4 linked regions of the Macaca fascicularis genome follow. The protein of the gene in region 3 interacts with the protein of the main gene of each other region in a biochemical or structural test. Links are inferred from orthologs where the notes say so. Each region holds a gene or a part of one and is shown on either strand. Other genes may lie near its edges.

Region 1 (6,160 bases), on a different chromosome or scaffold from region 3:
GCCTAATTTTTCTATTTTTAGTAGAGACAGGGTTTCACCATGCTGGCCAGGATGATCTCAATCTCAACCTCGTGATCTGCCCGCCTCAGCTTCCCAAAGTGCTGGGACTACAGGCGTGAGCCACCGCACCTGGCCTAAATTAATTATTATTTTTTTAAAAGCACTGAGCCTAGCAAAGTGCCTGATCTCATAGTGCTTACATCTTCATTCTCATTTGCAAGGAATCTGGACTCTGCTGTGACTATCTTAGTCAAGTGGTTTCATTTTCAAGCCTGTTTCCCCATTTGTGAAATGGGAACAATGACACCCTCGCACTCAGGGAGGAAACCAACTGCGTGTGAAAATAGGAGACTCTAGCTGTGCGTGGTGGCGAGCTCTTGTACTCCCAACTACTCAGGAGGCTGAGGCAGGAGAATTGCTTGAACCTGGGAGGTGGAGGTTGCAATGAGCCAAGATCACACCATTGCACTCCAGCCTGGGTGACAGAGCCAGACACCGTCTCGAAAAAAAGAAAGAGGGAGAGAGAGACAGAGAGAGAGAGAAAGAAAGAGAGAGAGAAAGAGAGAAAGGAAGGAAGGAAGGAGGGAAGGAGGGGGGAAAGAAAGAGAGAGAGAGAGAGACAGAAAGAAAGAAAGAAAAAGAAAGAAAGAAAGAAAGAAAGAAAGAAAGAAAGAAAGAAAGAAAGAAAGAAAGAAAGAAAGAAAAGAAAGGAAAGAAAGAAAGAAAGAAAGGAAAGAAAGAAAGAGAGAGAGAGAGAGAGAAAGAAAGAAAGAAAGAAGAAAGAAAGAAAGAAAGAAAGAAAGAAAGAAAGAAAGAAAGAAAGAAAGAAAGAAAGAAAGAAAAAGAAAATGGGGGGCTGTAGGCTGGGCCTTTGGGCTAAATTGGGGTAGGAGACCAGGTACAGTGGATCATGCTTGTAATTCCAGCACTTTGGGAAGCCAAGGCGGGCAGATCACCTGAGGTCAGGAGCTCAAGACCAGCCTGGTCAACGTGGCAAAACACTGTCTCTACTAAAAATACAAAAATTACCTGGGCATTGCGGCACACTCCTGTAATCCCAGCTATTCCAGAGGCTGAGGCAGGAGAATCACTGGAACCCGGGAGGTGGAGGCTGCAGTGAGCCAAGATGGCGCCACTGAACTCCAGCCTGGGCAACAAAGTGAGACTCTGTCTCAAAAAATAAATAAATAGGTCGGGTGCAGTGGCTCACGCCTATAATCCCAACACTTTGGGAGGCCAAGGTGGGTAGATTGCCTGAGCTCAGGAGTTCAAGACCAGCCTGGGCAACATGGCGAAACCCTGTCTGTATACAAAAAATTAGCCAGGTGTGGTAGTGCATGCCTGTAATCCCAGCTACTCAGAGGCTGAGGCAAGAGAATTGCTTGAACCCAGGAGATGGAGGCTGCAGTGAGCCGATCGCACCATTGCATTCCAGCCTCAGTGACAGAGCGAGACTCTGTCTCAAAAAAATAAATAAATAACAGGCCGGGCGAGGTGGCTCACGCCTGTAATCCCAGCACTTTGGGAGGCCGAGGCGGGCAGATCACAAGGTCAGGAGATTGAGACCATCCTGGCTAACACGGTGAAAACCTGCTTCTACTAAAAATACAAAAAGTTAGCCAGGCATGGTAGCAGGGGCCTGTAGTCCCAGCTACTCGGGAGGCTGAGGCAGGAGAATGCCATGAACCCGGGAGGCAGAGCTTGTAGTGAGCCAAGATCGGGCCACTGCACTCCAGCCTGGGTGACAGAGCGAGACTCCGTCTCAAAATAATAATAATAATAAAATAAATAAATACATAGGCCTGGGGCGGTAACTCACGCCTGTAATCCCAGCACTTTGGGAGGCCGAGGCAGGCAGAACACCTGAGGTAAGGAGTTTGAGACCAGCCTGGCAAACATGGTGAAATCCCGTCTCAGAAAAATACATAAATAAATAATAAATAAATAATAAATAAATAAATAAATAGGTCGGAGGCGGTGACTCACGCCTGTAATCCCAGCACTTTGGGAGGCCAAGGCAGGCAGATCCCCTGAGGTCAGGAGTTCCAGACCAGCCTGACCAACATGGAGAAGCTACATCTCTGCTCAAAAAATACAAAATTAGCCGTGCGTGGTGGCACCTGCCTGTAATCCCAGCTACTCGGGATGCTGAGGCAGGAGATTGAACCCCGGAGGCGGAGGTTGCGGTGAGCCGAGATAGCGTCATTGCATTCCAGCCTGAGCAACAAGAGCAAAACTCGCCTCAAAATAACTAACGAACCTAAATAAATAAATAAGTAAATAAATACATAAATACACAAATAAATAAATTTGGGTGGGAAGGCATTGGCCCTCAGCTAAGAGAGAACCGGCTCGCTGCTGAAGCAGGACCACGCATTTGATTGACAGTTTGCTGGTTGGGGGGGCGTGGTCACGCTCGGAAACTCCGCCGAGACGTTACAAAGGCTGGAATCTCCGCGAGAAGTCCAGTCTTTCACTTCCCACCCTTCGGGTTGTGGTCTCGAAACCCCGCCTCTCCCCGTGACGTCAGCACGCCAGGCGCTGTAGAATATAAACGCGTCGTGGCCTACGCTTGCGCTCATCGTGTTGGTTCCTGTCCAAGTTGTTGGTCGTATGCAAGACGCCGCAGGACCCCGCGCCCGCTTGTCGCCACTGCGCTTGAGGCAGCCGGAGATACTCTGAGTCCCCTGGAGCCCGACGCCTGAGGGTGAGATGAACGCGCTGGCCTTCCTAATCGTCAGGACCTGTGATCGCTTCTGGCAGACCGAGCCGGCGCTCCTGCCCCCGGGGTGACGCGCAGCCCCCCACCGGTGAGTAAGGGGTCGGAACGCCTGGGTCCCCACGGGGCTGGAGACCTGGATTTAGGAAGAAGAGATTGGGACCCTGGAGTCCGGAGCCTGAGGGAGGAGGGATCTGGAAGCCAGATTCTTGGGTCCCCGTGAAGGAATCATCTAGCAAGTCGGGGGTCGGGTCAGAATGTTTGAGTCTGCAAGGGAGGAGGGTGTGAGGGTTTGATCTTCAGCAGGATGACAGAGCTAGGGAGGGACTATGACTTTGTCGCCAAGGGAAGCAAGCAAAAGACTTTTGTTCTTGGTTCTTGGGACTGGGACTTCTGCGTCTGAAGAAAGAGGGGGCTGGGGGCTTGGACCCTTGGATCTAAGGAAGAACTAGGGGCTCAGACTCCTGGCTATTGAGAGATGAGAGAGAACAGAGCCAAGAGGCAGAGATGGGCGTGGCTGAGATCAGAAAGGAATTTGGGACTCTTGCGTTGCTGTTGACAATAGTTGTGTTACTATTTCTGTTGCTATGACTCATAGTCATGCCCGGATGCCATCCCCTAAATGGCCCCTAAACTTTATTTTTTTCCTCCCCCTTTTCCAGCCCAGACACATGGCCCCAGGCCAAGCACCCCATCAGGCTACCCCATGGAGGGATGCCCACCCTTTCTTCCTCCTGTCCCCAGTGATGGGCCTCCTCAGCCGGGCCTGGAGCCGCCTGAGGGGCCTGGGACCTCCAGAGCCCTGGCTGGTGGAGGCAGTAAAAGGAGTAGCTCTGGTAGAAGCTGGCCTGGAGGGAAAAGCCAGGACTCCTCTGGCAACCCCCCATATCCCTTGCGGCAGATGCCTTGATGAGGAGGCTGAAGACCGTGCAGGCCCTGGAGAGAACAGAGAAACACTGGGCCTGAAAACCAGCAGTTCCCTTCCTGAAGCCTGGGGACTTTTGGATGATTATGATGACATATATAGTGAGCAAGAAGCAACCAGCGTCCCTAGAGGGCAGGGAAGTCAATTTGCAGATGGCCAGCCTGCTCCCCTGTCTCCCAGCCTTCTGATAAGGACGCTGCAAGGTTCTGATAAGAACCCAGGGGAGGAGAAAGCTGAGGAAGAGGGAGTTGCTGAAGAGGAGGGAGTTAACAAGTTCTCTTATCCTCTGTCACACCGGGAGTGTTGTCCAGCAGTGGAGGAAGAGGTCGATGAAGAAGCTGTAAAGAAAGAAACTCGCAGAACCTCTACTTCTGCCTTGTCTCCAGGATCCAAGCCCAGCACTTGGGTGTCTTGCCCAGGGGAGGAAGAGAATCAAGCCACGGAGGACGAAAGAAGAATAGAAAAAAGTAAAGGAGCCAGGAAGACCTCCGTGTCCCCCCCATCTTCAGGCTCCAACCCCAGGGCCTGGGAGTGTCGTTCAGGAGAGGCGTCCGAGGAGAAGGAAGAAAAGGCACACGAAGAAGCTGGGAAAGGAGAAGCTGCCCCAGGGCCACACTCCTCAGCCCCAGCCCAAAGGCCCCAGCTCAAGTCCTGGTGGTGCCAACCCAGTGATGAAGAGGAGGGTGAGGTCAAGATTTTGGGGGCAGCTGAGAAGGATGGAGAAGCTGAGTGTCCTCCCTGCATCCCCCCCTCAAGTGCCTTCCTGAAGGCCTGGGTGTATTGGCCTGGAGAGGACACGGAGGAAGAGGAAGATGAGGAAGATGAGGACAGTGACTCTGGATCAGATGAGGAAGAGGGAGAAGCTGAGGCTTCCTCTTCCACTCCTGCTACAGGTGTCTTGAAGTCCTGGGTGTATCGACCAGGAGAGGACACGGAGGAGGAGGAAGATGAGGACAGTGATACAGGATCAGCTGAGGATGAAAGAGAAGCTGAGATTTCCACTTCCACACCCCCTGCAAGTGCTTTCTTGAAGGCCTGGGTGTATCGGCCAGGAGAGGACACGGAGGAGGAGGAAGATGAGGACAGTGATACAGGATCAGCTGAGGATGAAAGAGAAGCTGAAATTTCCACTTCCACACCCCCTCCAAGTGCTTTCTTGAAGTCCTGGGTGTATCGGCCAGGAGAGGACACGGAGGAGGAGGAAGATGAGGATGCGGATAGTGAGGGTAAGGAAGATGATTCAGAAGCAGCCATGGGAGAAGCTGAGTCAGACCCACATCCCTCCCACCCGGCCCAGAGTGCCCACTTCAGGGGCTGGGTATACCGACCTGGAAAGGAGACAGAGGAAGAGGAAGCTGCTGAGGACTGGGGAGAAGCTGAGCCCTGCCCCTTCCGAGTGGCCATCTATGTACCTGGAGAGAAGCCACCACCTCCCTGGGCTCCTCCTAGACTGCCCCTCCGACTGCAGAGGCGGCTCAAGCGCCCAGAAACCCCTACCCGTGATCTGGACCCCGAGATTCCCCTAAAGGCCAGAAAGGTGGGTGCTGAGAGCCCAGATTCTTTTTTTTTGAGACGGAGTCTCGCTGTGTCGCCCAGGCTGGAGTGCAGTGGCGCCATCACGGCTCACTGCAAGCTCCGCCTCCCGGGTTTACGCCATTCTCATGCCTCAGCCTCCCGAGTAGCTGGGACTACAGGCGCCCGCCACCTCGCCCGGCTAATTTTTGTATTTTTAGTAGAGAAGGGGTTTCACCGTGTTAGCCAAGATGGTCTCGATCTCCTGACCTCATGATCCTCCCACCTCGGCCTCCCAAAATGCTGGGATTACAGGCATGAGCCGCCGTGCCCGGCCTTTTTTTTTTTTTTTAAATTGAGTCTTGCACTGTCACCTAGGCTGGAGTGCAGTGGCGCGATCTTGGCTCACTGCCAACCTCTGCAGCCCAAGTTCAAGCAATTCTCGTGCCTCAGCCTCTGGAGTATCTGGGATAACAGGCACACGACACCACACCCAGCTAATTTTTTTGTATTTTTAGTAGAGATGGGGGTTTCACCATGTTGGCCAGGCTGGTCTTGAACTCCTGACCTCACGTGATCTGCCCATCTCAGCCTCCCCAAGTGCTGGGATTACAGGCATGAGCTACCACGTCTGGCCGAGAGCCCAGATTCTTGAGTCTGGGAGAGGAAGGGGCTGGAGGCTGAGACTCCAGGTCCCTGTATATTGCAGAGGATTGCGTGTCATTTCTATGGGGAGGGCTGTGTACACTGTCACGCAATCTCTTGTAAGAGGCCAGGCCCCTGGGGGAGGAGGGAGCAGCTGTGGCTCACAGCAACCCCAGGAAACCGTCTCTGCCTTCAGTGAGTCAGATGGAGAATCCCATGACAGTGACAGGCAAGTGACTAGCCAGATAGAAAGCATTTTTGTGTAATAACTAATTTTTGTTTGCTTCTCTCTCTCTCTTCCCCATCCGGATTCCCGTGGCTGTGTCCCTCTCCTGCCTGTGTCCCGGTGTCTGCCCCCA
Region 2 (6,119 bases), on a different chromosome or scaffold from region 3:
TAAAAATTCTGTGCAAGTCAGAGTTCTTTAAAAATAACTGTCTTCTAACAAAAAGAGAAAAAACTCCCAAATTTACCTTAATTTAGAGGCACTTCTGGAAATGAAAATGATTTGTACCTAACTCATGTTCCCCTTCCTTTCTTCAGTGTTTTAGGCATTTCCTAGTTTGACTCAATAGTGGACTGAATTATGTCTCTCAGGTGATTCATCACAAGGTCATAGCTTGCTTCCAAGTAGTAAGCCCCTACCCCTCAAAGTCATTTTGCAAACCTGATACATGAGCTCCTCAAAAGCTTATCTGCCTTTCAATAAAGATGCAAAATGATACACCACCCCAACTCATAGAAAAAGACCCCAGACTGGAACTCTGGCCACAAACTACAAGGATCAGCTTTTCCAAGATTCTCTGAATGGATGTGGTTCCCCTAGTAGACCTTGCTTCCCATCTCCCATGTTAAGGAAGATCTTCATTATTAATCCCCTGGCTCACTAGATATCAGGAACCCCAGTGGGTAGAATGTTCAGCTCCCAAAGAAGATATGCTGCAGAGGCACATGGCAAACTGCTTAAAAGAAAAAAAACAACAAAACAAAACAAAAAAAACTTGTGGTCAATAGACATGTGGAAGAGTCCCTCCCATCCAATCCAGAAGTTTAAGTAATAATTTGAGAATCTGTACCCAGTAGAAAATTAGCCCTAAGTCTCACCCACATCACCACAGGGCAGTTGTGCTTTCCAATTCTGCCTAGAACCTCCACGCTTCAGTGCAGGACTTTTAAAAATTAAAATTATATGGAGAGTCTGATAAAGATTTGGCTTTGAAAAAGTTGGGGGAAGGAACCAGACACCCAATACCACCCTCAGATAGGGCATGGCTTCTGAACATGCACCAACTGCCACAGCACTGCATGAGTTGAAAAATGAAGAGGACATCATTTTTTCATTAATGCTTTCAAGGAATTTCTTTTAGAAGGGAAGGAAAAAGAAATTCAAAAAAGGTGGCTCTTTGGGAAAAAAAAAATGAAAGTTGTGAAATGTAATACCAGAAAGGTTTTGCTTACCAGAAACCGTAGCTTGATTCCCCCTGCCTTGAGTTTACAACTGCCGCCTCCTTTCCTAAAGATTCACTTCTTATCCTAGTACCAATGTACAGGAACTAAGTGCAGAACGTGATACAGCACTGAATACAGTTTATCCCCAAACTGAGAGGTGGGAATGAGGGCGATTTAGAAGAAAGTCCTAGAAGTATCCACCTTCCCCCGATTCTCATTACACAAAGCGACCAAATGCAGGAGGCCCAAAGACTGGTTCCTGAGCAGAAATGGCACATTTCAGTGTCATCAGGCCCGTTTATCTCGAAGGGACTCTCGCAAGCCCTTGTGTCTTTCCCATCTCCCTCTACACACATATATACATACACACACGCTCACACACATCCTCAAAGCTCCCAGTCTTGGGTTTGCCTGTTTTTTCACCCCTGGCAGCTGAAGTGGGGAAAAATTACAAGCAGTTGTGATGAGTGAAAGTGAAAATAAAAACTGGTTCTATAAAAACTAGAACTACCCAAGGAGATGGACAGCCTTAATACTTAATTCCTATAAGCTCTCATCCCTTTAAGGTATTTTATATAATGAAAATTAGGAAAATGTCTTCTCCCTAGCAGCCACGAGCACAGGGAGTGCAAAGGCATCTGCTCAGGGGTGGAGCTTCAAGAGGGTGGAGAAAAGAGGAAGAAAGCTGATTACATCACCTTTCAAGGCTGCTCCTCCCCCTTGACCAAGTTTCTAGGGCGGCCCTAAGCTCAGGATGGCAAAAGGGGAAGAAAAACAACAAAGACGGAGGGACGCCATTTTGTAATGGAGAAAGAGGACTCGAACTATAAAAAGCCACCCAGCTCTGCCGGTAGCTTCAGTTACATTATAAAAACACCTTTTTAGTAAAAAAGCCAAAAGCCAGTTCCCCATCGTGAATAATCTTTGACCTATTTTGATCAGTAAGAGCGTAGTGAAAATTAAAGCAATCAAAATATTAGAACAATTTTCTGCAGGGAAGAACTGAATTTGCAACGGAGGTTCAACCGGCTACCATCGACCACCCCCATCCTCCCTATAGAGGGAAAGGGGGAGGAAGGACTTGGACCCCTCTCAACAAATAGGGTTGAGGTGGGAGGACAGGAAAAAAAATGGGTCAAGACACAACCTGCAACGCCGCTTGGAAGACAAAAGGACAAGGAAAGTCGCCATATTGAAGCAGGGAAGAAAAAAATTCCTTTTAACGACACAAATCTTTTAGAAAGCTAGCATTCAATTGCACTAAATGGCTTTTAAAATTATACTCCTAAATTCCACATTACCCAACCTTTCCACCCTCTATTTAACTGTACCTCCCCCACCAAAAAATATCAAGTTAAAATGTTAATCACTCTTTTGCTTTTAAATACCTATGCAATCTGCAACAATTATAAGACATTCTTTACCTCCCCAACTATTGTATGTACTGGCACTAAGATTATATTTTGTCCTAAGTGTCTTGCAATCTTTATTCCTAGATTGCCACCTATTTTAACCACACAAATATACCCCAAACAAATTACATTAAAATTGAGAGGATTTAACAGTCATTTAAAAAGTTATAGCGAGCTATTATTTCTCTCTGCCCATCTCCTTACCCTGCAATCTTTATGTACAGATTGCTTATTAATCTGGCAAATTGAAAGGCACCCTGCTTGTCTCACACACAAAGAAGTGGTACTTCTGGGCCACAAGATCCACCATCTCTTGTATGTGAGCTCATTAACCCTTTCGAAGACTGCTGCTAACCAGAGGAAGGTAACCATTCCTCCTTATATAAACACGTATGGCTTTGGCAGTCTGGAAATTGGCTGGATTACCAAGGGTTAACCATCAAAATCCTCACTTGCTGGCCCTCCCTCCACCCTCTCTTTGCCTGCAGCAGGGCAGGGAAGAGATAGGTGGTAGGGGAGAGAGAACAAGACTGTTTAGACCCACAGGCCCTTTTTAATGGAGATTAAGTGACCAGATTGGTCCTTCTCCAGTTCTCTATTTGTTCTATGGTCTCATTTCTTCCTCTCATTATTTTTGGTTTCACAACGGGAAACGTTGACTTCTTGTTGCAAGGCTGGTTTTTGAAAATTCGACACTTACTATCCAATTTTTTTGCGACGTCAGCACCTCGGGCTCAGGGGGGAGGGGGTAAAATTTTGGAGGAAAAAAAATAAAACAACCAACCAGGACCCAAAACTCAATTATTTAGGGGGCCTCATTGGATCAAAAAGTCTTTTAAAAAATAAAGGCCAACTCAGTATTCATTTCCCCCCCCACCCAACTCCATTTAGGGAGGGGGGTCGCAGAAAAAAGTTCTGAGTGGATTCAAAAAAGTAAACGCTGGATGAGTGAATTTGGGTGGTTTGGGAAGGGAGGGTGGTTGATTATTTTTCAAGTTATGTGGTGACGGTCCTTCGGCCACAGATTTCAAGTCCCAAGCAGCGTGGGCTGGTGGGGTGGGCAAGATAGGTGGGAAGGGGCAGAAGACACAAGTGGTTGGGCTGGTGGCTGCTGTTTTCCCTTTCCCCCCTCTCTCAGGATCCTTTCAAGGGCTTAGATGTTGCTGCGGCTTGTTTCTGTTTTCCTCGTGGTCGGCCTGTCTTTCTCCGAGAAAATTCAAACCTGGGATAAAAGGAACACAAGGGAGAAAGATGTAATCAGTACGGGTTGCTTCAAAACACCCAGAAATGCCATCTTTGCTGTCCCCAAACAAACCTCTGTGTCCCATCCTGATCGCAGCCGCTTTAAGCCGTGGCTCTCAAATGAACCCACCCCTACCCCGCTTCCCAGATCCAACGCTCTCCGCAAAATTTTACCCACTAAACAACAAGGTAGGTAAACTTACCTCTAAACGAACCCCAGAATGGCGGCCGCCCGCTCGGGTGGAGTCTTTTATACCCGGACGCCGCCCAACGCGCCCAAACGTGCTGGTGAAACGCCCTTGTCGCGAGACATTATACGCGAGGCGTGAACTCATTGGTCAACCTAAACGACAATTCGCCAGCTGATTGGCTAGTCTCACTTCACCTTTGCTCCGCCCCTTCCCCGGCACTCTCTTCCGCCTCCTTTCTGCCTCCCTGTTGCGTGCGCGTGACCAGAGAGCCCAGCACCTCCCTTTCCTCTGCTTCCGCCACTTCCGCCCTGGAGAACATTTCTCACCCAGGGTTGGTAGAAACGTGCCGGAGCATGCGCACTGAGAGGATCTCGATAAAAATCGCCTTCAAAATTGCTTAAAAGGCAAACTCTAACAAAGAGATCTAAGAGTCGTAGTGACTAGCCAAGAAAAAATGCAATTTTGAGGTCTAATTCGATTGTGACGCAGTTGAAATTAGCTTCTCCGCCCATGCCTTCCCTTTCACGCTTCCGTCCTGACGCAAACGTGCGGCCGCCTTCCGCACTGCGGGCTTGTCCTTGGCCCTGCCCTAGTCAGTTTCCTGAAGCATGCGCAGTTGCCTTTCCTTCCATTCCTGTGCTGGGCGTACGTCAAGATGGCGGCGTCCGTATTAAACACCCTGCTGAGGCGGCTTCCTATGCTTTCTCTCTTCCGAGGTGCCCACAGAGTTCAGGTAACTTCTCGAAGGACATTTTGCACAACCCCAAGTTGGTTATACCTTCTCTAGGTCGTCGCTCCGCTGTCAGGAATCCACGAGTGGAGACCTTCCCACGTGTTTATATCTTAGCTGTCTAGGCAGTACTTCCAGCAACCCCCTCCCATACACCGCGCGTTTTCTAATCCCGAGCCGAGGACTAAGCCCCAGGGTTAGGTGTCATCCTTCTTCCAAAATGCCATCTCAGTAAAATAATTAAGTGATAGAATTGACCCCCGTCCACCCTCAGTTATGCATAACCAGCTTTTTGAAAATTATTTAAATAATTAAGGGGCTATGCTAATGTTGTATCGTTGCAATTTTAGCGTAACATATGTGCTCCCCAAGCGAGCGCCACAACCAGCTCTTAACTGTGCAGGTCATGTCTAAATCTGTGTTGCTCAGGAATGTCCTTAGGGAAATTAGGGATCCTAATTTCTACCCACCTTGCTATTTCCCAGTAAGGTCAGGATATATTCTTACGACCTGAGGACAGTTTCTCAGCTCTCTTTATTAAATCAGTTTCTTATCAGAGTTATGAGAGCTTAACTCCGTCCTTTGAATTGAGGTTTCCCTCCAGTCTTGTGTACTCACCTCTCTGGAGGTTCTTGGTGGGGCACGGTGAGATAGAAAGGCTTGCCCAGCTGCCACTCCCTAAAGTGGGACTGAAGAGTGGTGACAGAGGTCAACACAGACTTAATAACAGCCTTGGTAGCTTTAAAACTAGCGTTAGGACTCAAGTTTGTTCTGCCCTGTAGATTGTTGACCTTCAGCTTTTATGAAAATGGGCAACTCAGTGACTTCATTGCATTGATTTGGAGACTCACCTGTCTTCAGCATCCCCTCCCCACCACACATCTTGGTTCCGAGAACCTAGATATCCTTCCTCTTTATTCTTCCACCAGAATCAATTCATTTCCAAAAAGCAGGACTACCTTTTATGTACTAGATTTTTTTTTTCTTTTTTCTTTAGATGGAGTCTCACTCTGTTGCCAGGCTGGAGTGCAGTGGTGCGATCTTGGCTCACTGCAATCTCTGCCTCCCGGGTTCAAGCGATTCTCCTGCCTCAGCCTCCTGAGTAGCTGGGACTACAGGCACATGCCACCACGCCCAGCTAATTTTTTGTATTTTTGGTAGAGATGAGGTTTCACCATGTTGGCCAGGATGATCTTGATCTCTTGACCTCATGATCCGCCCGCCTCAGCCTCCCAAAGTGCTGGGATTACAGACGTGAGCCACTGCGCTGGGCCTTGTACTAGACTTTTTAATTGTCTTCTGAAATAAGATTGTTTTTCAGCATATATCCGCTAACTTAGCTTTTCTTTCAGGATCCAGTTGTAGAAAAGGAGCGTTGTTGTTGATTTATGTCAGTTTAAACCCAACAAAAATACTTAACTTACATATGTATTCCTGTTATATTCCATTAATGCAATATGTATGCATTCCCCCTCTTTCCAAAATGTGATAA
Region 3 (6,021 bases):
TGGCCCTGAACTACTGACGTTCCTACCTCTTATTTCCCATTGAGTCTCAGGCTATACTCCAGCTGGCCAAGGCTGGAAACCTGTCTCCCTCAGGCTCACCTTCCTAAGGAAAACATCACAGCAGGTGCTGCCGGCCCCTGATGATCCAGCTTCTCTGCCAATCATGACCTGACCTGTTCCTTCCTGAAGTCCTGGGCATGCATCTGGGACGCCCGTGGAGCTGACAGTTTTTCTTGCTTTCCTGATACTCTTTGGTGCCGACCTGGAATTCTAAGAGCCTCGGACCTGCGTGTGTGGCTAGGGTTGCCCTTGCTGGGGCCTGGTGCCCAGCCTCCCAAGTAGCTCTGCGCAGAGGAGCTGCCAGGCAGCGTCTTAGACGCGAGACGGAGGCCATGGCGAGAATCCAGCTTTGACCTTTATTCAAGAGACCAGATGGGTTGCCCCAGGATCCGGCTGCCAGCCCTGAGGCCAAGCACGGCTGGAGACCCACGACCTGGTCTGCCGTTGCCCTGAGCTGCAGCCTCAGCCCCAGGATCCTGCTCACAGCCACCGCTGATGCAGGCAGGAAGCAGCCCTGGGGGATTGGACGCTGCTATTGATTCATTAAAAAAAAAAAAAAAGAAAAATACACCAAGGCTCCATGTTCCCCGTGACAGGTGGGCCTGAGGGGCCGGGGTGACCCCCCCCCAGCATGGCAGCATGATTTCTGTACAATCCATCCATCATCTGGGGCACAGGCGCGGGGTGCAGGGGCTATTTCTTGGCTTTGGCGGAATTGCGGGGTGGGGTGATGGGCCGGCCCCCAGGGTTCAGGCCACTGAACTGCCCGTACTTCCCCTTGTTCTTGTCGGCGGGCTTGAGGATCTAAAAGAGACAGGGTTGGTCAGGCTCATGGGGCTGAGCCACGGGGCCTAGTAGCTCCTTTCTTCCCCACACTCACCTGGAAGGAGCACATGAGGGTCTCGTCCACGCTCATCATGGCGCCAGCATTGTCAAACTCGCCACAGTAGTTGGGAGCTGAGAAAAGTGTCACCAGCTGCCGCTTGGCAAAGAACTCATAGCCATCTTCTACCACCTGGGTGAGGATCGGAGCAGTCAGTCCCAAGTGCAGGCAAGGCCCTCCCCTTCCCCCACCACAGACGGGAGCCACCAGCCCACCTGGTGTGCTCGGCAGATGAGGTCCAAGTCGTGCTTGTGGAGGAACTTGGCCACCACCTCGGCTCCAAAAGTAAAAGAGACGCCACGGTCGTTCTCGCCCCAGCCCTGCACGTCCTTGTCAGGGTCAGACCAGAGCAGGTCACACAGCAGGCCCTGGTCAGGCACGTCTGTGGGCCGCATGATCCGCCGAATCTGCTCCATGGACTGCAGGTCCGGGGAGAGGCCTGGAGGGCCAGAAGGAAGGTCACTTCCTCAAACAAGGACATCCTTCCTCCAGGAAGCCTTGGCCAGTGAGCCTCACTTTTCCACCACCCTCCTGGTCCCTCCACTGGTCTCCTGGGTGCCCAGGCAGGCAGAAGCCATCCCCTTCCCCTCAGCTTTTTCAAGTTCCCAAACAGGCACAAAGGCGCCCCTGGCCTCCGGAGCACAGAGCTCCTGGGAGAAAGGAGACAAGCCCGCCCCATGTAGAATGCACATCAAGGAAGTGAGTGCAGCCCAGCACAGGGGGGTATGGGAGACACTTCCTGAAAGGAGTGACTTCCCAGATGACAACTAAGGAGAGCTCACCTCCGTGGCAGCAAAAGATCTTTTCGTCCACTATGGCCGCAATGGGCAGGCAGTTGAAGCAGTCAGTGAACGTTTTCCACAGTTTGATGTTGTAGCGTCTCTTGCCTGCCCAGAGGGAGGTAGCTGTGAGGGGTCTGCCTGCTCCACCCTTAGCCGGGGTCTCTGGGCTATTCAGCCGCAGATGGGAGAGAGTCAGGCACCAATGCAAACCACCCCCACCCCTGCCGCCTGTCAGCCTTCCAGGAGTAATTCTAGTTACTTTTTATTTTAATTTGTAATTTAAACAAACAGGATCTGGGCAGGGCATGGTGGCTCACACCTGTAATCCCAGCACTTTGGGAGGCTGAAGCAGGCAGATCACCTGAGGTCAGAAGTTCAAGACCAGCCTGACCAACATGGAGAAACCCTGTCTCTACTAAAATACAAAAAAATTAGCCAGGCGTGGTGTCGCATGCCTGTAATCCCAGCTACTCGGGAGGCTGAGGCAGGAGAATCGCTTGAACCCGGGAGATGGAGGTTGTGGTGAACTGAGATCACACCACTGCACTCCAGCCTGGGCAACAAGAGCGAAACTCCGTCTCAAAAAAGTAAAGAAACAGGGTCTTGTTCAGTCACCCAGGCTGGAGTGCATTGGCAAGATCATAGCTCACTGTAACTTGGAGCTTCTGAGTCCAAGTGATCTTCCCGCCTCAGCCTCCCACCAGAAGTAATTCTAAAGCACCCGAGTCCACTGGAAACTGAGTTCCAATCTGGACCAGCCTCAGGGTTGGCACTCCTTGCACGCCCCGGCCCACGAGCCGGGCCAAGTACAGGTCTGGTTTATCTCAGCTTCTGGACAGCAGAGCTCATCTGCAAACATCCTAAATGCTTAGTAGCAAATGTAGAGGGAACGTCACCAGGCAGGGCCCTGGGGGAAAGCACTAGAATACGGACAGTCCTTCAGTCAGCAACCATTCCCCAGACCCCATGCCAGGAGGGGCAGGGCAGGCACAAGAACGGACCTGGGCCCTGCCTTCGTGGAGTGCACAGTCTTAGCAAGTGTCTGTCAGATATCAGGCCAATGTGAAGGTCCCACTGAATGACAAGGAGTGTGGTTCAGGACCCGGGCAGCCCCAGACGCTCAGACCACTCACACTCATCGTAGAAACCGTAGATGCGGTTGATGCTGGCGCACTCGTGGTTCCCACGGAGCAGGAAGAAGTTCTCGGGGTACTTGATCTTATAGGCCAGCAGCAGGCAGATGGTCTCCAAGGACTGCTTGCCCCTGTCCACATAGTCCCCCAGAAAGAGGTAGTTGCTCTCCGGAGGGAAACCGCCATACTCAAATAGTCGCAGAAGGTCATAGTACTGGCCGTGTATATCACCTGTGACCCAGGGAATCGGGTAAGCTAGATGCAGGGTCTAGACCTGAACCCAGGACCAGGACTGGGCTCAAGGGAGGAGGACTCCAGGAACTCTGTGGGGGCCAGTGCCACTTTCAGGAAAGCAAGGGGACCTGGGTCGGGGGGCTCACCGCAGATCTTGAGGGGTGCCTCCAGCTCCAGAAGAATGGGCTGGCTCAGGAAAATCTCCCGGGATTTCAGGCACAGGCCGCGGATCTCGTTCTCTGTCAGCTGTACATTCTTGCCAGGCCGCGAGCCCTGCACTGGGGGCGCAATGGGGTGTCAAGACCCGGGACCCTGACAGGAGGAGGGTGGGCGACACGGGTGGCCCCATGGATACCTCCGGGGGCGCCTAGGCCTCCTCGGCTGCTCCTTGCCCGCAGGCAGCTGTTGCTGCTGAGCCTCCCGGGACCTCGGCCTCAAGCCTCCCAAGGGAAGCCCCCAACTACCCTCAGCGCCTCGGGAGGCGACTGTCGTGCGCAGGGGGCTGCCACCCAAACACCTCACAGCGCAGGACCCCTTCCTGGACCGGGCTTCCCGGGTTTCTCCCTCGCCTCAAGAACCCAGGCAACCCGTGCGCCCCCGGCCCGGGAGAGGGGGCTGCTCCGCGCGTCGGAGCGGGCCCAGGACCTCTCAGGCGCGTCCGCGGGGGGGCGGCTGCGGCCACCGAACCTCGCGGCCCGTCCCCGCCCAGTCTAAGCTGGCCCCGGGGGCCCGCCCGCGCGCCACTTCCGGGCCCGGCAGGGGGCCCGGGAGCGGCGGACGCAGGCCTCCCCCGCCGCGACCAACCTTCTAGCAGGCGCCCGATGATCGAGTCAAGGTTGAGCTTCTCGCTATCGGACATGGCGGCGCCGCCGCTCCAGCCCAGCAGCTCCGGGCCCGCTCCTGCCTCCCGCCCTCCGGCAGCCTCCTTCCGGCCTGGCTCTCCTTCCGCCCGCCCCAGTCCGCCCCCGGCCCGCGGCCCCGCCTCCGGGCCTCCCGGGCCCGCCCCGCCCGGTCCCCCGCGCTCTAGCGCCCCCGCTGGACGTGAAGCGCCGCGGCCCGGGGGGCGGGGCCTTGGCGGCGGGCTGGGGGCGGGGTCTGTCGGGGGCGCGTCCAACTGGTTACGCCCCAGAGGAGGCGCCCAGCCCGGTTCAGAGGATGTGGGGCCGGAAGAACTGTGGAAGTTGTTTTTCTCTTTCAAAAGCAGAACAGCCGTTCCCACCCCTGCCCTGGGTGGAGGGTGTTGTGAACATATTAATAACCGGCTGCTAGGCACTGAGGGTTAACTGCTCGAAGTGCAGGAAAGGAAACTGAGGCTCAAGAGATATGAACAGACTGGTGCAAGACCTGGACCTCGCATTCACGTACGACCCCCTTTTTCGTGGGTCTCCGTGGCCCCCAGGCGGCTGACCACACTCAAAGACAGCTACGGCTGAACTTCCAGCGCACTTTGGTCCTTGGGGCATGATAAATTAATATTTTCTTACAAGTCCCATAATTAGCTTTTATTTATTTATTTTTTTTGAGACAGAGTTTTGCTTTGTCGCCTAAGCTGGAGTGCAGTGGCGCGACTTTGGCTCACTGCAACATTCGCTTCCCAGGTTCAAGGGGTTCTCCTGCCTCAGCCTCTGGAGTAGCTGGGATTGCAGGCGCGCGCCACTGCGCCTGGTTTTTGTGTGTTTAGCAGAGGTGGGGTTTCGCCATATTGGCCCGGCTGGTCTTGAACTCCTAACCTCAAGTGATCCACTGGCCTCGACCTCCCAAAGTCCTGGGGGGGTTACAGGCGTGAGCCAACAAGCCTGGCCCCATAATTAGCTTTTGAGTAGCACAGTAATATTGCAGGGTGTGCACGTAAAAAGAATTACTATATGAGCAGACATGGCTGGGTGCAGTGGCTCACGCCTGTAATTCCAGCGCTTTGGGAGGCTGAGGTGGGAGGATCGTTTGAGGTCAGGAGTTCAAGACCAGCCTGGCCAACATGGTGAAACCCCATCTCTCTAAAAATACAAAAAGTTAGCTGGGCATGATGGCAGCCGCCTGTAATCTCAGCTATTGGGGAGGCTGAGGCAGGAGAATCACTTGAACCTGGGAGGCGGAGGTTGCAGTGGGCCAAGGCCCATTGCACCCCCTAGCCGAGGTGACAGTGTGAGACTCTGTCTCAAAGGAGCAGACGATAAATTAACCTTAATTCTTGTTGGAACCCTGAGTTGGGTGCTTTACATGCCAGTAACCTCAGAACTGGAGGTGGGCCTGCTGTGGCGGCTTAGGCCTGTAATTCCAGCACTTTGGGAGGCTGAGGTGGGATGGTCTCTTGCGTCCAGCCTGGGCAACACGGCGAAACCTCATCTCAACAAAAAAATACAAAAATTAGCTGGGCATGGTGGTGCACGCCTGCAGTCCCAGCTACTAGGGAGGCTGAGGCAGGAGGATCTCTTGAGACCAGGAGGTGGGGGTTGCAGTGAGCCCAGATCCTGCCATTACACTCCAGCCTGGGTGACAGAGCATGACCCTCAAGAAACAAACACAAAGGCCAGGCGCGGTGGTTCATGCCTGTAATCCCAGCACTTTGGGAGGCAGAGGTGGGTAGATCACCTGAGGTCAGGAGTTTGAGACCAGCCTGGCCAATGTGGCAAAACCCTGTCTCTACTAAAAATACAAAAATTAGCCGGGCATGGTAGTGCATGTCTGTAGTTCCAGCTACTTGGAAGACTGAGGCAGGAGAATCACTTGAATCTGGGAGGTGGAGGTTGCAGTGAGCTGAGACCGTGCCACTGCACTCTAGCCTGGGCAACAGAGCAAGACTCTGTCTCAAAAGAAACAAACAAAAGAATTGGAGGTGGCCTGGCCTCTGTGTCTAAGAGGCCTGGGCCCTCCACACCCAGCACAGGAACTCAAGCCTTCAGTCACTGGGGCCATGGGGAGGGTGGGAGGA
Region 4 (6,013 bases), on a different chromosome or scaffold from region 3:
AAATCTACATAATTATATAAGTACTTAGGCTAAATTACAGCGAATAGGTTAGTTATACTGTTTTTTTTTTTTTTTTTTTGAGACGGAGTCTCGCTATGTCGCCCAGGGTGGAGTGCAGTGGCCGGATCTCAGCTCACTGCAAGCTCCGCCTCCCGGGTTTTTACGCCATTCTCCTGCCTCAGCCGGGACTACAGGCGCCCACCACCTCGCCCGGCTAGTTTTTTGTATTTTTTTTAGTAGAGACGGGGTTTCATCGTGTTAGCCAGGATGGTCTCGATCTCCTGACCTTGTGATCCACCCGTCTCGGCCTCCCAAAGTGCTGGGATTACAGGCTTGAGCCACCGCGCCCGGCCTAGTTATACTGTTAATTACAACCTTGAAGCTTACTAACTTATTTTAAAACTACTTGGCCACATTAACTTCAGATGAAAGTTGTCCCTAAGACACTGGCATTGATGTCCGAGAAAGTAGAACTCCTTTTAAAATATGTTTGTTTTTTTTGTTTGTTTGTTTGTTTGTTTTTTTTTTGAGAGGGAGTCTCGCTCTGCCGCCCAGGCTGGAGTGCAGTGGCCGGATCTCAGCTCACTGCAAGCTCCGCCTCCCGGGTTCACGCCATTCTCCTGCCTCAGCCTCCCGAGTAGCTGGGACTACAGGCGCCCGCCACCGCGCCCGGCTAGTTTTTTGTATTTTTTTTAGTAGAGACGGGGTTTCACCGTGTTAGCCAGGATGGTCTCGATCTCCTGACCTCGTGATCCGCCCGTCTCGGCCTCCCAAAGTGCTGGGATTACAGGCTTGAGCCACCGCGCCCGGCCTTGTTTTTGTTTTTTTGTTTTTATTTTTTGAGACGGAGTCTCGCTCTGTCGCCCAGGCCGGAGTGCAGTGGCCAGATCTCAGCTCACTGCAAGCTCCGCCTCCCGGGTTCACGCCATTCTCCTGCCTCAGCCTCCCAAGTAGCTGGGACTACAGGCGCCCGCCACCTCGCCCGGCTAGTTTTTTGTACTTTTCAGTAGAGACGGGGTTTCACCGTATTAACCAGGATGGTCTCGATCTCCTGACCTCGTGATTCGCCCGTCTCGGCCTCCCAAAGTGCTGGGATTACAGGCTTGAGCCACCGCGCCCGGCCGTTTGTTTTTGAGACAGAGTTTTGCTCTTGTTGCCCAGGCTGGAGTACAATGGCACGATCGCAGCCCACTGCAACCTCTGCCTCCTGAGTTCAAGCGATTCTCCTGTCTAAGCCTCCCCAGTAGCTGGGACTACCACGGCCGGCTAATTTTTTTTTTAAAATTTATTTTTAGTAGAGACGGGGTTTCACCATATTGGCCAAGCTGGTCTCGAACTCCTGACCTCAAGTGATCCGCCTCAGGGCCAGGTGCGGTAGCTCACGCCTGTAATCCCAGCACTTTGGGAGGCTGAAGCGGGGGGATCACTTGAGGTCAGGAGTTCGAGACTCACCTGGCCAACATGGTGAAACCCGTCTCTCTAAAAAAAAAAAAAAAAAAAAAAATTAGCCGGGCGTGGTGGCGTGCGCCTGGGAGGCTGAGGCAGGAGAAACGCTTGAACCCGGGAGGTGAAGGTGGAAGTAAGCCCAGATCATGCCACTGCACTGCAGCCTGGACGACAGAGGGTGTCTCCTTCTCAAAATAAATAGATAAATAAATAATAAATGTTTTAATTGCAAAAATTAGCATGTAGAAAATAGGACAAAAATACAAATTATCTGTGATTCTAACCCCGAGACACCCAACAAGTTAATTTTCCTCATGTTTTTAGCGTAAAATCTTTCAAGTATTTAAGTAACTACTGCTTTTAGTGTCTGCACCAGGAATCTCACGTGCTTTCAAACGTTTTACAAAGCACAGTAAAAAAGTATTTCAAAAGTCCCACTTACCCCTCCCACTCCTGTTTTTATTAGGATCGGCCCAAATTAAAAAATTTAACAAAAAGGAGTGCTTATTAATTACATTTTCAAATGAAGGGTTAAAAAAAGAGATAAGCCTGGGATTTCTAATTCGGGGGCCATGGGACTTCTCCCCTCCAAGTGCAAGTTGTAGCAATCTGCCGGGTACACGCATGGGCGGGTCATACTCCACGGGTTCCGGTTTCCACTCCCCGTGAACCAAAAGCCAGAGAGGCTCACGCACGAGCCCGGAAGTGAGGGAAAGAAGACTTTCGTTCGCAGCCACCTCCCAGCTGGAACCTCATCCTTAGTGCTCGACCCCGGGCGGTGTTAACTCGGGGTTCCGCCTCGGAATGCCTCCCACTTCTCTCGTCTAAGAGGAGAAGGCAGACATGTACAACCTGAGCTCAGAGCTAAGCTAGCGAGCCAAAGACTGTCAGTGGGGATGCCCAGACGGTGCATTCCCCACGCCCCTCGGAACCGACTCTCATTGCGGCTGCTGCAAAAGCGACCGGTCGTGCGCCACCCGCCCGACTGAGGCTGCGCAAGCCCCGGGGTCTGAATGGGGTGGTCCTCGTGCGCGCCGCGTCGCCGTGGAGACAAGGGCGGGCGCGGCGCGAGACTGGCGTCTAGAGGCGCGCGAAGCGCTGAGGCTGGCGTGGGCCGCGCGGGAGTTACGAAGCAGGTCCCGGACCGCCCTCTCCCGCCGGGTTTTCTCCCAGCGTCAGGCCCGATGGCTCGGCTTCCCCAGGTACGAGGCCCGATCCTAACGTCCCCACCCTCTTATGGGCTCGGCCTCTCCGGCAGGGAGCTCAGTCGGGTCCCTCCGAGTCCGGTGAAATCTGTGCGAGCCTCTGCTTCCTCCCCTAAAAGTGCAGGTGATGTTGCCTACCTGCGGGTCTGTGGTGCGGGAATGGAGGAAGTGCGACAAGAGGGCGCAGGACGGGGCCTGGAGCCTGCCATCCTCTCCCGCTATCCTCTCCCACCGCGTCTCCTCGGCTTCTTGTCCTGCGCCCCGGGGGCACCGCATCCTCCCAGGCGTCTAGTGCGCTCCTGGCCGGTGCTCGAGTCTACGCAATGCTTCTTAGCGTACGCGGATCCAAATGAGGGGTTTCCTTCTCCCGGCTAAGTGGCCCAGGAGAGCGGAAGGGCTGGTGTATGGGCGACCTTCCCCCACCGAGCCCGCAGGGGGTAACGCAGTAAACAAACCTTGAAGCCTTCCCCGCGTGGGAGGTGGGTGCATGTTTTTATTTTATGGGAGGCTGTTCAGGTTTCCTAAGTGCTGTGTAGATGTGTTGTAAATATTTGTTGAATGAATGATGCTAGGGACTTGAGTACAGCCATACCTTGCTTTATTGAACTTAATAGGTATTGTGTTTTTTACAAATTGAAAGTTTGTAGCAAGTAGTCCTGCGCCGAACAACTAGTTTTTCAGCAGCATGTGCCCACTTCCTATCACTGACACTTTGGTAACTATCGCTATATTTCAAACTTTATTTCAGGTATACCGTTACAGTGATCTGTGATCAGTGATCTTTGATGTTATTATTGCAATTGTTTTAGGTCGCCATGAACCTCACTGGTATAAAACAGTAAACTTAAGTGTTGTGTCTGACTGCCCCACCTACCTGCCAGTTCCCTGTTTATCTCCTCCCTCTCGGTCCTCCTTGTAGCCTGAGAGGCAACAATATTGAAATTAGGCCAATTAATAGCCCCACAGTGAACCCTAAGTGTTCAAGTGAAAGGAAGGGTTTCATGTCTCACTTTATATCAAAAGCTCGAAATGACTAAGCTTAGTGAAGGAGGCACATCAAAAGCTGAAATAACGTGAAAGCTAGGCCTCTTGTACCGAACAGCCGAGTTGTGAATATAAAGAAAAAGTTGTTGAAGCAAATTAAAAGTGCTACTCCAGGGAACACACCAGGGATAAGAAAGCTAAACAGCCTTATTGCTGATATGGAGAAACTTTTAGTAGTCTGGATAGAAGATCAAACTAGCCACAATGTTTTCTTAAACCAAAACCTAATTTTGAGCAAGACCCTAATTCTCTTCAGTTCTGTGAGGACTGGGAGAGATGAGGAAGCTGCAGAAGAAAAGTTGTAAGCTGGCCAGGGGAAGCGGTTCATGCCTGTAATCACAGCACTTTGGGAGGCTGAGGCGGGCAGATCACTTGAGGTCAGGAGTTCAAGACCAGTCTGGCCAACGTGGTGAAACCTCCTCTACCAAAAATAGAAAAAAATTAGCCAAGTGTGATGGTACTCAGGAGGCTGAGACAGAAGAATCGCTTGAACCCAGGATGCAGAGGTTACAGTGAGCCGTGATTGAGCCACCGCACTCCAGCCTGGGCAACAAAGTGAGACTCCGTCTCAAAAAAAAAAAAATGTGTAACTGAGAAATTAGCTGGAAGCTCCTAGTGTCTAAGCAGGACTGCGGGGTTCATGGGCTTCACTTTAGGGTAATCTAGGGACAAGTCTGCTTTTTCATTGATGGAGAGTAAAGCACATGTTTCAGAATCTGGAGATCTGTTAGTTTTTAGTGTTTTCTGAGAAGACTTTTCCAGTCTCCTGCCTGAAAGGTACCATCTAGCTACCAGAATGTTGGAAGCAGGACAGCAGAAGGGACCTGAATACCCTGTCTGACAGGATTGGAAATCTGTGTGGCCCGCTTTCCTTTGGTATCCTCAAATCAAAGTTTTTCATTTCCTCAAACCTGTTAGGCCACTTCATTTTCCTTGTAAAAATGTGGAAATCGCTGGTGTCCTATAATCTCTTCTCTCATCTCTTTAACCTTATGGTTTGTTCCTTTGTATTCTTTACTATCACCTTAGAAGGTCAATCTACATGTTTAACTGGGAGTCAACACCTAATAATTTTAGTTTTTCTTAGACTTTTTTTTTTTTTTTTGAGATGGAGTTTTGTTCTTGTTGCCCAGGCTGGAGTACAGTGGTGTAATCTTGGCTCACTGCAACCTCCACCTCCCAGGTACGAGCGTTCTTGTTGCAGCCTCCAAAGTAGCTTGGATTACAGGCATTCGCCACCATGCTTGTTTTTTTTTTAAGTAGAGATGGGGTTTCACCTGTTAGGCTGGTCACAAACTCCTGACCTCGGGTGATCCACCTGCCTCAGCCTCTCAAAGTTCTGGGATTATAGGCATGTGCCACCGTCCTCGGCCGTGTTTTATATTTGATTATCATTATGTATATTCCAACTTATAAGCAAGTTTATATTCATACATGTCCTTATTGAAAGCAAACCTGTGTCCTAGTTTTTCCAGTATGTGTGTATTTTATCTGTGAGGTTACAGACATTGTTTTAGAGGCTGGAGATACAGTGGAGAGAAGATCAGATATGATTCCTATTTTCATGGAATTTATATTTTAGTGGAGAAGGCAGACATGTACAAATAGGTAGAATGCTGGTATGAGTGTATAACAAAAGGGGGTCCTTGACCACGAAGGACATTCCACAGAATCATTATGACAGAAACCCAAGGCAGAGACACATTGATTATAGCAGTATTTCACCAAAAGTCACTATTTGAATACTCCTTCTATTTGATTTATTTGTAGAAATAGTCACTTATGATGAGCTCTGTTACTTGGAGTGTGGTATCAGAAAATCTAGGACATTGGTTTGATGTAAGTAAGGATTGTTCGTTTTGTATGGATAAACTGGCTAATTCCTTGTCTGATTGTCATTGAAATATGTGACCTTGATTATAAGGGTGACTTCATTCTTGTAGAATGAAACATCTGGTAAATGCATCACAATTACTCAACATAGGACACGTTCACCCTGTTAGCTTGCCTCCACCATTACTTAAATCTTACTCTTCTGTCTTACTACTTGTATTAGTTTCCTAGGGCTGCTGTAACAAAGTACCGCAAACCAGGTGGCTTAAAACTAATAGAAGTTGATTCTTTCACAGTTTTAGAGGCTAGAAGTCTGAAATCAAGGTCTTATCCTCTCCCTGAAGGCCCAGGGTATCTGTCCCTTGTGTCTTCTCTTTTAAGAAAGACAGATCATTTTGGATTAAGGGCCCACCCTACTCCCACGTGACCTCATCGTAACTTACATCTTAATTACTTCTGAAAAGACCCTGTTTTCAAATAAGGTC

The links. The genes of interacting proteins can lie anywhere in the genome.
Region 1: the proteins of PPP1CA (region 3) and PPP1R15A are reported together in a solved structure, tested with the Homo sapiens proteins (2 studies listed by BioGRID and IntAct, with this or other methods). The link is inferred for Macaca fascicularis from reciprocal best matches to the Homo sapiens genes PPP1CA and PPP1R15A.
Region 2: the proteins of PPP1CA (region 3) and PPP1R10 form a complex in vitro, tested with the Homo sapiens proteins (2 studies listed by BioGRID). The link is inferred for Macaca fascicularis from reciprocal best matches to the Homo sapiens genes PPP1CA and PPP1R10.
Region 4: the proteins of PPP1CA (region 3) and SFI1 form a complex in vitro, tested with the Homo sapiens proteins (2 studies listed by BioGRID and IntAct). The link is inferred for Macaca fascicularis from reciprocal best matches to the Homo sapiens genes PPP1CA and SFI1.

Annotation. Positions count from the first base shown.
Region 1 is NC_088393.1:56,856,356-56,862,515, forward strand, and holds the start of PPP1R15A (protein phosphatase 1 regulatory subunit 15A), read left to right. Parts: upstream 1-2,576; 5' UTR 2,577-2,810; intron 2,811-3,381; 5' UTR 3,382-3,390; coding exon 3,391-5,181; intron 5,182-6,160. UniProt on the Homo sapiens protein: Recruits the serine/threonine-protein phosphatase PPP1CA to prevents excessive phosphorylation of the translation initiation factor eIF-2A/EIF2S1, thereby reversing the shut-off of protein synthesis initiated by stress-inducible kinases and facilitating recovery of cells from stress.
Region 2 is NC_088378.1:142,039,716-142,045,834, reverse strand, and holds the start of PPP1R10 (serine/threonine-protein phosphatase 1 regulatory subunit 10), read right to left. Parts: upstream 3,585-6,119; 5' UTR 3,165-3,584; exon of another isoform or gene 1,062-3,164; intron 1-1,061. Other genes in the region: MRPS18B (small ribosomal subunit protein mS40), read left to right, coding at 4,553-4,630.
Region 3 is NC_088388.1:6,973,906-6,979,926, reverse strand, and holds PPP1CA (serine/threonine-protein phosphatase PP1-alpha catalytic subunit), read right to left. Parts: upstream 4,028-6,021; 5' UTR 3,952-4,027; coding exon 3,897-3,951; intron 3,371-3,896; coding exon 3,239-3,370; intron 3,090-3,238; coding exon 2,859-3,089; intron 1,831-2,858; coding exon 1,726-1,830; intron 1,383-1,725; coding exon 1,159-1,382; intron 1,076-1,158; coding exon 941-1,075; intron 865-940; coding exon 754-864; 3' UTR 398-753; downstream 1-397. UniProt on the Homo sapiens protein: Protein phosphatase that associates with over 200 regulatory proteins to form highly specific holoenzymes which dephosphorylate hundreds of biological targets.
Region 4 is NC_088384.1:20,124,534-20,130,546, reverse strand, and holds the start of SFI1 (protein SFI1 homolog), read left to right. Parts: upstream 1-2,429; 5' UTR 2,430-2,648; intron 2,649-2,789; coding exon of another isoform or gene 2,790-2,927; exon of another isoform or gene 2,928-3,083; intron 3,084-6,013. Other genes in the region: EIF4ENIF1 (eukaryotic translation initiation factor 4E transporter), read right to left, coding at 2,790-2,927. UniProt on the Homo sapiens protein: Plays a role in the dynamic structure of centrosome-associated contractile fibers via its interaction with CETN2.